2 linked regions of the Danio rerio genome follow. The protein of the gene in region 1 interacts with the protein of each later gene in a pairwise test. Links are inferred from orthologs where the notes say so. Each region holds a gene or a part of one and is shown on either strand. Other genes may lie near its edges.

The links.
Region 2: the proteins of plekha5 (region 1) and pdzd11 interact in binary tests that used the Homo sapiens proteins (3 or more experiments, as listed by UniProt). The two-hybrid records come from large-scale screens. The link is inferred for Danio rerio from reciprocal best matches to the Homo sapiens genes PLEKHA5 and PDZD11.

Annotation. Positions count from the first base shown.
Region 1 is NC_133179.1:3,484,094-3,490,425, forward strand, and holds the start of plekha5 (pleckstrin homology domain-containing family A member 5), read right to left. Parts: upstream 4,238-6,332; 5' UTR 4,218-4,237; coding exon 4,126-4,217; intron 4,015-4,125; coding exon 3,938-4,014; intron 3,467-3,937; coding exon 3,409-3,466; intron 1-3,408.
Region 2 is NC_133189.1:37,800,584-37,806,965, forward strand, and holds the start of pdzd11 (PDZ domain-containing protein 11), read left to right. Parts: upstream 1-2,406; 5' UTR 2,407-2,437; intron 2,438-2,808; 5' UTR 2,809-2,818; coding exon 2,819-2,911; intron 2,912-3,000; coding exon 3,001-3,141; intron 3,142-3,217; coding exon 3,218-3,316; intron 3,317-3,423; coding exon 3,424-3,484; intron 3,485-5,828; coding exon 5,829-5,863; 3' UTR 5,864-6,382. UniProt on the Homo sapiens protein: Mediates docking of ADAM10 to zonula adherens by interacting with PLEKHA7 which is required for PLEKHA7 to interact with the ADAM10-binding protein TSPAN33.

The DNA of each region.
Region 1 (6,332 bases):
CTGCCCATCAAAATATCCATGCAATAAATCAAAGCAATTGCGCAAATTATCTGCAGGACGATTCTTCTCTAATAACATTGATATGTCCATGAAAGCCACCAATGATCAAGAAAATAAAGCAAGTTCTCTGAAGCAAAAGTTGATGATTTTTTTCACAATAAATCAAACTTCCTCTACAAACTGTATGAATTTGCTTCTCGAATAATCCTGTTTGGATGTTTAAAGGCGTCAATGATGAGGAAAATAAAGCAAATTCTTTTAAGCATTAATACACACTCAAATGCAAAGTTTTTCACAATAAAGCCAAAAGTATTGTGGAAATTATTGCATGATGATGCTTTTCTAATAACCCTGTTTGGACATTTAAAGCAAACAGTTTCTTTAAAGCAAAAATGCACATACAGATCCTGTTTTTATTTTTGTTTTCTTGTGTGTTTTTTACAATAAATCAAAAGTGTTGTGCAAATTATCTGCAGGATGGTACTTCTATTAATACTGATATGTCATTTGAAGCCAGGAATGATGAGGAAAACAGAACAGCCCATTGAAATACCCATGCAATAAATCTAAGAAAATGTGCAAATTATCTGCAGGACGATTCTTCTCTAATAATATTGATATGTCATTGAAACCCAACAATGATCAAGAAAATAAAGCAAGCTCTTTAAAGCAAAAATGCACATTCAGAGTCAGAATTTTCTCAATAAATCAAACTTTTTGTGCAAAAAAAACATTTTGTTGGTAATACTGCGTTTATAATATAAGGTCATTTCAATGCATCAGCGATTAAAATAAATAAATAAAGCAACATTTACAATGTCAAACTTACCCTTAATATAGACTGTCAATGAATTAGGCCAATGCAACAAAGCACACTTACAGTACATATGGAATTGTCATGAGCATCAATGAGATGTACACAAAATACAGACACAACATTTACTCCTCAACCACAACCAATATTGCCAAAAAGGCCACAAGAGGGAGAGGACTGTTAATTAATACATCAACCACTTTCAAAACCACAAAAATGGAAATCGACCAAAGTAAAATAGCATAAAACATGCACCCCAGCATCTGTTATGCCACTCAAGAAAAAATCTGATAAAAACAATCAGACAATCTACGCAAATAATCATCCCAAAAACGCAAAAACATCATCCCAAAAAGCAAACTGGCTCATTCTCAACCCAATCACAGATGAAAACACTCCTAAAAATCATCAGCCTCATTCACTAATTCAAAAAAGCACACCAGAGCCTAAAAACTTTGATCAGCTCTCCTCAATACAAGCTTATCAAACAAACCAAGACCTGCTAGCACACAAAAAACCACACAGATTCATCTGAAACAGGTAGTTTAACACGAAAAAGGACTGCAATGTGGAGAAAAATAGGGTTAATATGATTCACTCAGTGGAAACCAACAAGTTGAGCCTGTTTTCAGCCAACAGAGGTTTGAATCACACGAGCCTGTCAAGCCCTCCGTCACCCTCACGGTAATTACTTTTTTCTTTTTTAACAGGGGAGTGAAAATGCTCTAAAGACTAGTGTATAGCTTCAGTTAGGGCTGTGCAATATGACAATATATATCTCATATAGACAAAATAAAACGTCTATTAATTCATATTATGCTCATAGTATCACAAATAGGCGCAACAAATGGGACGATAACCGTTTTCAAGGTCTAAAGCGGTTTGGAAATGTCAAGGTTTTAAAAGCACCAACATTTTCTGTTATATCGCTCCCATGGTATAGGCAAGAATATTTTTTATTTATTTATTGATTGATTGATTGATTGATTGATTGGACAACATTACCTCAAAGATGCTGTTTAAATTGTAATGAAATCAGTGTTTTTGAAACTAATGAAGACAGCAGAAGTCAATGATTCATTTGAATTATTTACTGTAACAAAATATCTTAAATGTTTCCCAAATTAAAATATATTGTGTTCAAAGCGGAAAACGTAGCTGCTTTTTAGCCAAACATTTTAAAAGAATATATTTCAGAGCAGTAATCACAATACCGTGAAAACGTGATGTTTTTATTGAAGGTTATACCGTCAGAAACTTATGCCGGCCCATGCCTAATCATTAAATACACTGTTTACTGTAAATCTCTTTAATGATCTATATTATATGCGATTACAGAGATGCCGACATAAACATAAATAACAGGATCATGAGAAAGTTGCAATACTTGATAATACAATGTTCACATTTGCATTTTATTTAACAACATTTGTATTTTTTTAACAATATTTTATTATATTATGTTCTCAATAATATTTGTAAAGGAAACACAGGACCTATATGTGCTGTTTACATATATTTCAGGTAATATAGAAAATGAGTGCATGTTTTTACCAAAACTAACATTGGATTTTTTATTAAATGCGTGTGCATGTAAAACAATATAATTTGCACAAAGAACTGACGGGGTTCTTCTCTAAAGAAGTTGTTACCACCCTGTTTAGAGCACCATTATGGGTGTTTTACATTAAACTAACATTGTTTAAACGATGGATCTGCGACAGAGAAACTACAGGTTTTGGGAAACATTCGTCACTACATTGTTCACTTCCCAAACGATGCATCATACTATAATAGTTAGCCGAAAGTTACGTCTTTGTTTGGGAAACGCATCCCTGAACAGTGTTAATATTTAATTTAGTGCAAAAAAAGTTTTTGACATAATATGTGTGTGTATTATATATGATTTTTATTTATATGTGATAGAAACGCTATACAAAACTATTTTGTTACATAGATATTCAATTATATATCTAATTTGTATCATATACATATATATTTTACATCTGAAATATATGCATGCATGTGTGTATTTACATATAAATAGTAAATGTACACAGTAAACGCAATTAAACTATGCCAAAACAAACTTTCATTCCTGATGCGATTAATTTGTACCCAGCACTAATAGTATTAATATTTCTTTCATATTTCTGCATTCTTAATCAAACCTTTGCCCTGAAGTTCTAATATTAATAACATGAGAAATATGACCATATTTTAATGAGTATATTAATGCATACTTTAAAATGTAATAAATAAATAGTGCTTTACATGTGGTCCATATAATAATTAATTGATTGATTGATTGAATTGTACTATATCATGATATATATCGTTATCAGAATATGAGACGATTATCGTGATTTATATCATGATTTTTGTCATATCGCCCAGCCCTACCTTCAGTGTGCTAGCCGAAGCATTTCTGGAGACGCTGTGGCATGAGTGTATGAGTGAATATATATATGTGTGTGTGTGTGTGTGTGTGTGTGTGTGTGAGGGGGCGGCGATCTGAAATCACTGCTGCTGTCAAACAAGCAGGCGAGAGTGAAATATCCTCCTTCTGCCAATAAGCTGAACCTCCAACTCACTTGATAAAGCAACGGGCTCCTTCAAACGTGTATCCTTCTTCCCATCCGGTGGGTAAATCTGAAGAAAAAATAAATTAATTAATTAAAAAGCTGAGAGGAGGCGAGGACAATGAGTTTTTGCATGCAAACAGCATCTTTCTAGAGTGACTGGGCAGCACATCTCTGATCTGCAGTGCCCAAAATATGAGCATTGCTGGCGATGCATCTGCAAGATCAACATGTCAATGAGGATCATTCACTGCTGATAATAACGCATGTGAGACTCGTTTTAATAAGGGAGTTTACGATTTATGATTCAGTGCATGGGGTCAGATGATCAACCAAGTGACAGCTGTCAATCAAACCGATCGTGGGCGCGCAAAGCAACCGAACGCAAGTTGTCAGAAATCGTGCTGCATGCAACGCAACGCACGAAACGCAACGCGAACGCATTGACACTGCGCGCATCGCGTTCAGCCACAGCTGCGGTTTCTGCAACTGCATTGATTGCATTTCTCCGCTCGTAAAATAAATCAAAATAAAGCCTCACCTGGAGTTTTTCTGTGTCCTGTAATGACGGCTTCTCCTGTGACTGGATGCAGCCAGGTTGTGCTCTTCGCTTCTTCACTGTTGGGTGAGAGAAAAAAGGGGGTGAGAGAAGGTGGAGGGGAAAAAACAACCGATGAGAGGGTTTCGAGTCAAACCGATCCCCGAGTCTTAGTTCCTGCAGATATTTACTTGATAAAGAACACTCGTCCGTCCCGGGTCACGCCGTAACTCCAAGAGGAAGGCAGGCAAGACAGCCAGTCCGGGTTCAGGTCCGCCGCCATGTCTGAGCACTGAGAGCTGCGCGCCGCCGACCCACACGCGCGTACACGGGATTCCTTAGCAACGGTGTCCAGGGCGCAGGCGGACCAATGACACGCGCTGACGTGATTCGCTTATTCGTATTCAAACGACACGCTTACTTTAGCATGTTTGTTATTGAAGTTGTGCTGTCGATACATCAGACACGCGTGCTTATTTGTTTATACGTTGATTGCATACTGTTGCTCTCTTTTTTATTTTGTTCTAAATAGTTATGAGATGTGTGGACTTGTTTGCGCTAAGTTTGTACATATGTCACAGTACTAAAAATAAACTAAAAAAACATGCTTGCTTTGTTTTGTAAATAAATGTTTTTCTCCATTTCTCAGTGAATACAGACAATGTATTTTGGTGCATTTAAACAAAACAGATTTATTACACACATATTTATTAAAATAATATTTTAAGTCACCAAACATATTTAGAAATTGAAAGATAATACAATTAAGTTCAAGCAAAATATTGCATTGTATTGTTACATTTGCATAAAATTGCATTGTATAATATTGCATGTAACTAAATTTCTCTTTTTAAAATTTGTATTTAATGTTTTCTATAACATTTAAATTTGGCTCTACTGGTTTTTGGAGGGTTATCGTAAGTAATTTTGTTAGATAAGCTCTAGATTTGGCTTCAGTGCTGACTAACCTAATGTATATGCACAAATATAATATTGTAGAGCTTCCTATTTAAAATATAAATTTAAAAAAGAGATTTGTGAGGGGTCTACTGATATATACATGCATACATATACATACAGTTGAAGTCAGAATTATTTGCCCCCCTTTGAATTTTTTCTCTTTTTTTAAATATTTCCCGAATAATGTTTATCATCCAGGACACTTTCACAGCATGTCTAATAATATTTTGTCTTCTGGAGAAAGTCTGATTTGTTTGATTTCGACTTGAATAAAAGCAGTTTTTAAATTTTTAAACACCATTTTAATGTCATAATTATTAACCTCTTTAAGCAAATTATTTCTCTCGATAATCTACAGAACAAACCATCATTATACTATAACTTGCCTAATTACCCTAACCTGCCTAGTTACCCTAGTTAAGCCTTTAAATGTTACTTTAAGCTGTATAGAAGTGTCTTGAAAAATATCTAGTCTAATATTATTTACTGTCATCATGACAAAGATAAAATAAATCAGTTATTAGAGATGAGTTATTAAAACTGTTATGTTTGGAAATGTGTTAAAAAATCTGTCCATTAAACAAAAAACGGGAAAAAAAAAATAAACAGGGGATTGAATAATTCAGGAGGGCTAATTATTCTGACTTTAACTGTATGTATGTATATATATATATATATATATATATATATATATATATATATATATATATATATATATATATATATATATATATATATATATATATATATATATAGCTATTTTTAACACATTTCTAAACATAATATTTTTAATAGCTCATTTCTAATAACTGATTTATTTGATCATTGTCATGATGACAGTAAATAATATTTGACTAGATATTTTTCAAGACACTTCAATACAGCTTAAAGTGACATTTAAAGGCTTAACTAGGTTAATTAGGTTAACTAGGCAGGTTAGGGTAATTAGGCAAGTTATTGTATAACGATGGTTTGTTCTGTAGATTATAGATAAAAAATATAGCTTAAAAGGGGTTAATAATTTTGACCTTAAAATCGCTTTTCAAAAATTAAAAACTGCTTTTATTCTAACCGAAATAAAACAAATAAGACTTTCTCTAGAACAAAAAATATTATCAGACATACTGTGAAAATTTCCTGAATCTGTAAAACATCATTTGGGAAATATTTAAAAAAGAAAAAAAAAATTAAAGGTAGGCTAACAAATTAGACTTCAACTGTGCATTATAGCAACATTTTGATTCGGTCTTCATACAATGGCTTTATATAACACATTTAAAAACAAATAAAGTAATAACTAAGCACGAAAACACATTCAGGATCTTATTCCATTAACCATACACAATATTAACTGCAGATTTTACATTTCATACTAAAGCACTTCTTACCTTTTAAAGTGTTTCCTTCAGGTCTTGCTGCCTCTGACCAGGACCTGAAC
Region 2 (6,382 bases), on another chromosome or scaffold:
CATTTTGAAAATAAGATAAAAAAATTAAAAAAAAGAGGAATTTTATAAACTGAAATTAAACATCTGTTTTATTACTAAAATCAGTGGATTAAAATAAAAGAAAATACATAAAATAAAAAGAAGCAAATTATAGATTTATTTTTAACCACATTAATAATAATAATAATAATAATAATAATAATAATAATAATAATAATAAATTAATACTGGGCCTAAATAATAATGACAAGACATTCTATGACAAGCAAAACATTGTACATTTCTAAATATATTGTTTTAAAAAAATGTGACATACAACTTCAAGTTTTTACAAAAGGAGGAGGATTGGAGACATTAAACAAACTGGTGCATTACGTTTTCAGTTTAATCACTCCAATTTTTGCAAATATGCCACCTGCTTGCTTCAGAAGCACAGTGGGCAACTGCTGTACTATGTTAATTATTACATTATATCTACAGTGTGACACTGCCTCTGACTCTGTTAATGCTAAAATGCCCAGACTTGTGAACAATGAGTGAGGCTGTTTTTGGCACATTTCAGTGATGTTTTTTTTTTTTCAGGGAAGGTTAATATTTTACAGTGGATTTCTTATTTAGCAGGCACATAACAAAAAGTCTACAGTGTAACAGAATATCCTTCAAACTAAAATATGAAAAAAAAGTTAACCCTGACACTACAAACAAGGCATTTGTGATTTAAGATGATCTTGAGCAAGAGAGCATAAAGAGCCTTCTGTCAGAGAAATGACCCAGAGTCCACGCTCACTCTGGGGTGAACTGCAACAAGAAACTGGCCGAAAAACAAATATTTTGTTTAGCTTTACATATTTGATTTTATTTATTGAATAACAAGAACAATAGCATACAAACAAACTGAGGAATACAGTTTTTACATTATCTCAAACATCAAAGGAACAAATCAATAGAGAAAAAAAAATAAATAAATGAATAAAATTACAGGGGATATATAAATTACAAGAAATACGCATACGAAAAATTATTCAAAAAAATCCTTTTTGCATACATGCTTATCGCTTCTTAAAAATATTTTAAATGTATTTTATGGTTTCAATTTTAAGATAAATTTTAAACAAATAAACGTTAGGTTTATCCTTGGCCATTTTTTTTTTGTGTGTGTGTAAATGGGACTTCCCATATTATCATTAAATGAATAATCAAATTTTGCTCAAAAGTTTTTTATTATTATTGTTATTATTATTATTATGTCAAAAAATTACCTTTACAAGAAAGCTTAATTTCTAATTTTTTTTAGATTTAACTATAAAAGATATTGAACATCAAACCAAAACATTTGTGTATATGTGCATTCAAAAAACAGACATATTCTGGATTCCTCTTCTAATTCACAAAAAGTGCACGCAGATTCAATGTTTCTAAAAAAAATTAACAACCTGTTTCACTGTATAAATTTAATTGATTAGTTTGTCACTTCTTTAACTTTATTGGTGAGACAGTATTTACTTGACAAGTTCCAAACTTTTTACCACTCAATCTGCTCAAATAAGCAATTCCAAAAAGGTTTGCATTTAGGCAACAATGTGGTTCTGCAAAACTTTTAAAATGTAGAACTTATTCAATTTATTGCCTATAATTTTCACACCATTATAACTTAACTAATTAGTATGTAACAGGTTGGATTTAGAGGACATATTACCAGATAAGAGCTGAACAAGACAACCAGGAACTGCATCAAATGCTATTGCAAATTCTTTGGCAGTAATCACAATAATAAAGAAATTGACCATTACTTTTGAATAACTGTCGCACCAATATATCATTACTGTACCAATTTCTATAAAATAAATATTTATTTTTAAAGGTTATCCATTTGTTATACATCACTGTATAACAAAGGTTATAGAGCACTGATTTATGTGGAGAAAAAATATGCTTGTAAATAAGCATCCATAGTAAACATACTCGTTAATGAAAAGAGGAACGTTTTATTGGCACCTTGTTAATATCAAAATCACACCTTAAAATAATTCTAAACCCTCCACCTGGTCAAAAACTAATTCAGGGATGATGCTCCAAATTTTGCCTTTATTCAGGCAATTCTTAATCTATTTGTTTTTAAATAGCCTACACGGTGTTGAAGTTAACAACATGGTGACCACTATCTTTAAGTGGCATGCACAAAATTGTCTTCTTTAAATAATGTGGTGTGCTCCTTCATATCAAATTGAACAAAAATTTATCCACCTCTTTTATGACTAAATGTGGAGCATCGAATGCAAGAGCCGTGTATACTAAACGTGACAATCCTTCAGTTTTGGCTTTAATATCCCCCCCTTGACTTACAAATCTCTCATTAACCATAAGTTTATATTTTGTTGCTTTCCTATGAAAAGAAAAACGTGCTGACGTCATCAGCGAAAGGGCGGGGCTAAAGGTTCACTCGACTCAATGTGTTCTGGTGAGTTGACAGACAAAAACAAAACTGCAGAGCAAAAGAAGCGGCATATACTCGTTGTTTTAGATTTTAGTTTAAGCGTGTTTATAACCTTAGTTTATTCGCGCAACATTTGAGAATTTATTACGCTGTTGCTCATCGCATCTTGTGTTTATTGATGTGTGTTAGCAAGCTAGCCTACTGTAGCTCATTGTACAATGAGAACCGCAGAGAGTGAATTTACATCCATTTGAATAATTCTATACTAAAATCACTACAATAATTTTTAAAATACATCTTTCATAACTCTTTATAGCTATAACCAAGCCTGTATTGTTTTATTGTAAAGATGATTAATGACATCATGACGCTATTGATTTTTTTCTCACGTCCAGCTCGACAAACATGGACCAGAAGATTCCGTATGATGATTATCAGCTGCCGGTAGTGTTTCTTCCCTCCTATGAAAACCCTCCTGCATGGATCCCTCCACAAGAAGTACTGAACACTACTATTGCACTTCATTTAATCTTATCATTTGTAATCAAACATAAATCCTAATTATCATCTTTCTTCTTTGTAATCAGAGGATTCATCACCCTGACTATAACAATGAGCTCGCCCAGTTCCTACCTCGCACTATAGTGTTAAAAAAGCCCCCTGGTGCACAGCTGGGCTTCAATATCCGTGGAGGAAAAGCCTCGCAGCTTGGCATATTCATTTCAAAGGTGAGTTCAGCTGTGCTAGTTAAAAACTTGTTCGTCTATTTAAACAATTGACTTAATCGTATGTTGTTTGTGACAGGTGGTGCCAGATTCAGACGCCCACAGGGCAGGACTTCAGGAGGGTGATCAGGTGCTTTCTGTCAATGAAGTGGACTTTCAAGACATTGAGCATTCAAGGGTAAGATCTGACCTGTCAGTCTACGGACAGAAGAACACTGACTGGATATGCCTCTGGATGGATGTGCCTCTAAGCTCAATTGGTCTAATCTTTGATTTGTTTTCTAGGCAGTGGAGATTTTAAAGACAGCAAGAGAGATTTTGATGAAGGTTCGATATTTCCCTTACAGTGAGTATTACAATAATTAATATGACATGACAAATCAAACATTTCCTTTACAGTTTTGAATAACAAATTTCAAATGCAATAGAGGTAAAGTTGGTTTTATATTCGCACATTCGTTCATTTAGCAGTCTCTATATTGTTTACCATGTTACTTTGAATATTCGATCTGAATTAGCATGCGAGTATGACTTCTAAACAACAGTAACACAATCTAATTCACTGTGAACAATGTTGTACTTTGATAGTCATTTGCTGCTAATATGATTTCCCTATTTACAATTTGCAAAGAATATTTTTCTGAAATTATATTACTAAGGAGAAAGTCTGAATATCCGAATATAAAACCAACTTTACCTCTATTCAAATACACGCCATATAGTAAAAGATGCAAGCAAGCTGCATTTTCTCACAACGCAAATATTTGAAAATGTTTCAAGGGGACCCTAAAACATGACGGACCAAGCTATTTAGGTTATGGTTATTTAGGCTAATAAATACTAAAGACACGGGAATCGGGATATGAAAAAAAAATCTTTCAAAGATTACCTAAAACTTCACTGAGCATTATCGCGGACAATACTCACGGCACAGCGGCGTCTGTCACATTTTTGGGTCCACTTGAAACATTTCTGTTGTGTTGTGAGAAAATGCAGTGCGTTTCCCAAATTGTTTGAGGTGTGAGAGTGTAGCACGTTTTTTTAAAAATGTGTTTGCATTGTGAGGATTTGCAGCATGTGTGCAGTGAAACAGATGAAGATCGTTCTCAATTTGCTGTTGTTTTTTTGTAATTGCATGAGTTTTCTTAAATGGCAGCATGTTAAGCTCTCTCGGCCACTGTATGTAAGGGTTAAAATCAGATTTTTGTTTCTTATTAAAATCAGGGTTATTCCAGCAAATATTGATTTTTACTGTTTAAAAACTAATATAAACATGTCTAAAACACAGCAGTTTTTATAACATAATTTTGATCTTATTTCATGCAAACAAAGCTATTTCTTTAACATTTTTATTTTAATTATAGAAGAAATGTCTAAGAATAATACAAAAATCACATCTTATTCAAACATAAAATATGTGCTGCCAAAGTATACAAAACTTCATGAAAGATTTTTAGGTTCACTAAGTGTCATTTTAGCAGATGTCTTCTGTAAATCATAGCAAAAATGTGTGAAAGTTTGTGTTTTTGCTCTGAGGAAAGAAAAAAAAGAAACTGGACTCATTCTTCAGTATGGAAGTAGAGAATTACAGTTAGTTATTAGACGCTCTGTAGTTATGAAATGACTTAATAACTATAATGATTTGACATTCAAATTTTTAAATACTGAAACTGTATGATAATATATTTAAAAAAAAAAATATGTTGGCGTCATGGTGGCGCAGTGGGTAGCATGATCCCCCCACAGCAAGGGTTTGAGCCCCAGCTGGGTCAGTTGGGATTTCTGTGTAAGTTTGCATGTTTTCCCCGTGTTAGGTCAGGTTTCCTCCGGGTGCTCTGGTTTCCCACACAGTCCAAACACATGCGCTATAGGTGAATCGAATAAGCTAAATTGGCCATAGTGTATGTGTATAAATGCAAGAGTGTATGGGTGTTTCCTAGTGTTGGGTTGCAGCTGAAAGGGTATCTGCTGCGTAAAACATATGCTGGATAAGTTGGCGATTCATTACGCTGTGGTGACCCCTAATTAAAATAAAGAGACTAAGCTGAAAAGAAATTGAATTAATGAACGAATAAATATTTTGGGAGATGTCTGCGAGAATGGGGGGCTATATCATATCAAGAACCACTGCATTAGTCTAGTTAAAATAATTAAAACAGGGGTGTCCACACTCAGTCCTGGAGGGCTGGTGTTCTGCAAAGTTTAGTTCCAACTCTAATCAGACAAAGCTGGGCTTGCTAATTGAGCTCTTACTAGGCTTTCTAGAAACATTCTTGCTGGTGTGTTGAGACAAGTTAAAATCTGCATGGACACTGGCCCTTGAGGCCCGAGTTTAGACACCCCTGGCTTAAAAGGATGGCTCAGTCAAAAGTTTTAACTTACTGACCCTCAAGTGGTTCCATACCTTTATAAGTTTCTTTTTTCTGTTGAACACAAAATAAGATAATTGGAAGAATGTCATAAACCTGTAACCATTGACTTTCATAATAGGAAATACTAAGGAATTCAGTGGTTACAGGTTTCCAACATTTTTTCAGAGTAACTTTTTTGTGTTCAACAGAAAAAAGAAACTCAAACAGGTCTGAACGAGTGAGGCGTGAGTAAACGATGACCGAATCCTCAGTTTTGGGTGAACTTTCCCTTCAAGTGACTGTTTCTGGCTGTGCTTGACATCATGAATGTGTTTCCAGATTACCAGCGGCAGAAGGAGAGGACTGTCCACTAGGTGTCAGAGTAGACCTTCAGGAGCGCAGCAGTGCCGTGACGCAGCGATGAGGCGTTGGTGTGTCAGTGAGAAAGGCTCGTCTCCTCTGCATCATCTTCCTCCCACAAACTCTTTTCTCTGCCTAAAAGACTGCTCAAAGAAATCATCTTCAAACACTCCAGCACATGCCTTGATGATTCACATCTAGCGCTGGCTTTTCCAGATGCGTCTCCTGTTTATGTGTGCTTTCATCTGGGAAAACAAGCATATTCTTTGGGACATGAAGAGAAACACATGCTAGAAGTCTTATTTATTAAAAGAACTATATAGAAGTGTAGGGCTAAGGGAAATTCCTGAGTAATTTAGTTTATAAAATGACTGATGTTATAATGACTAATATATCTTGTATTCTTTAAAACCTTTTTCTTTTTTAAGTACATTTCAGTCGTGCATAAGCATTTTGATGTCCTGCTGAAAAACACATTGCTACTGACTAGTTAAATGTCATTCAATTGTGCACATACACTGTGTAGTTTATGT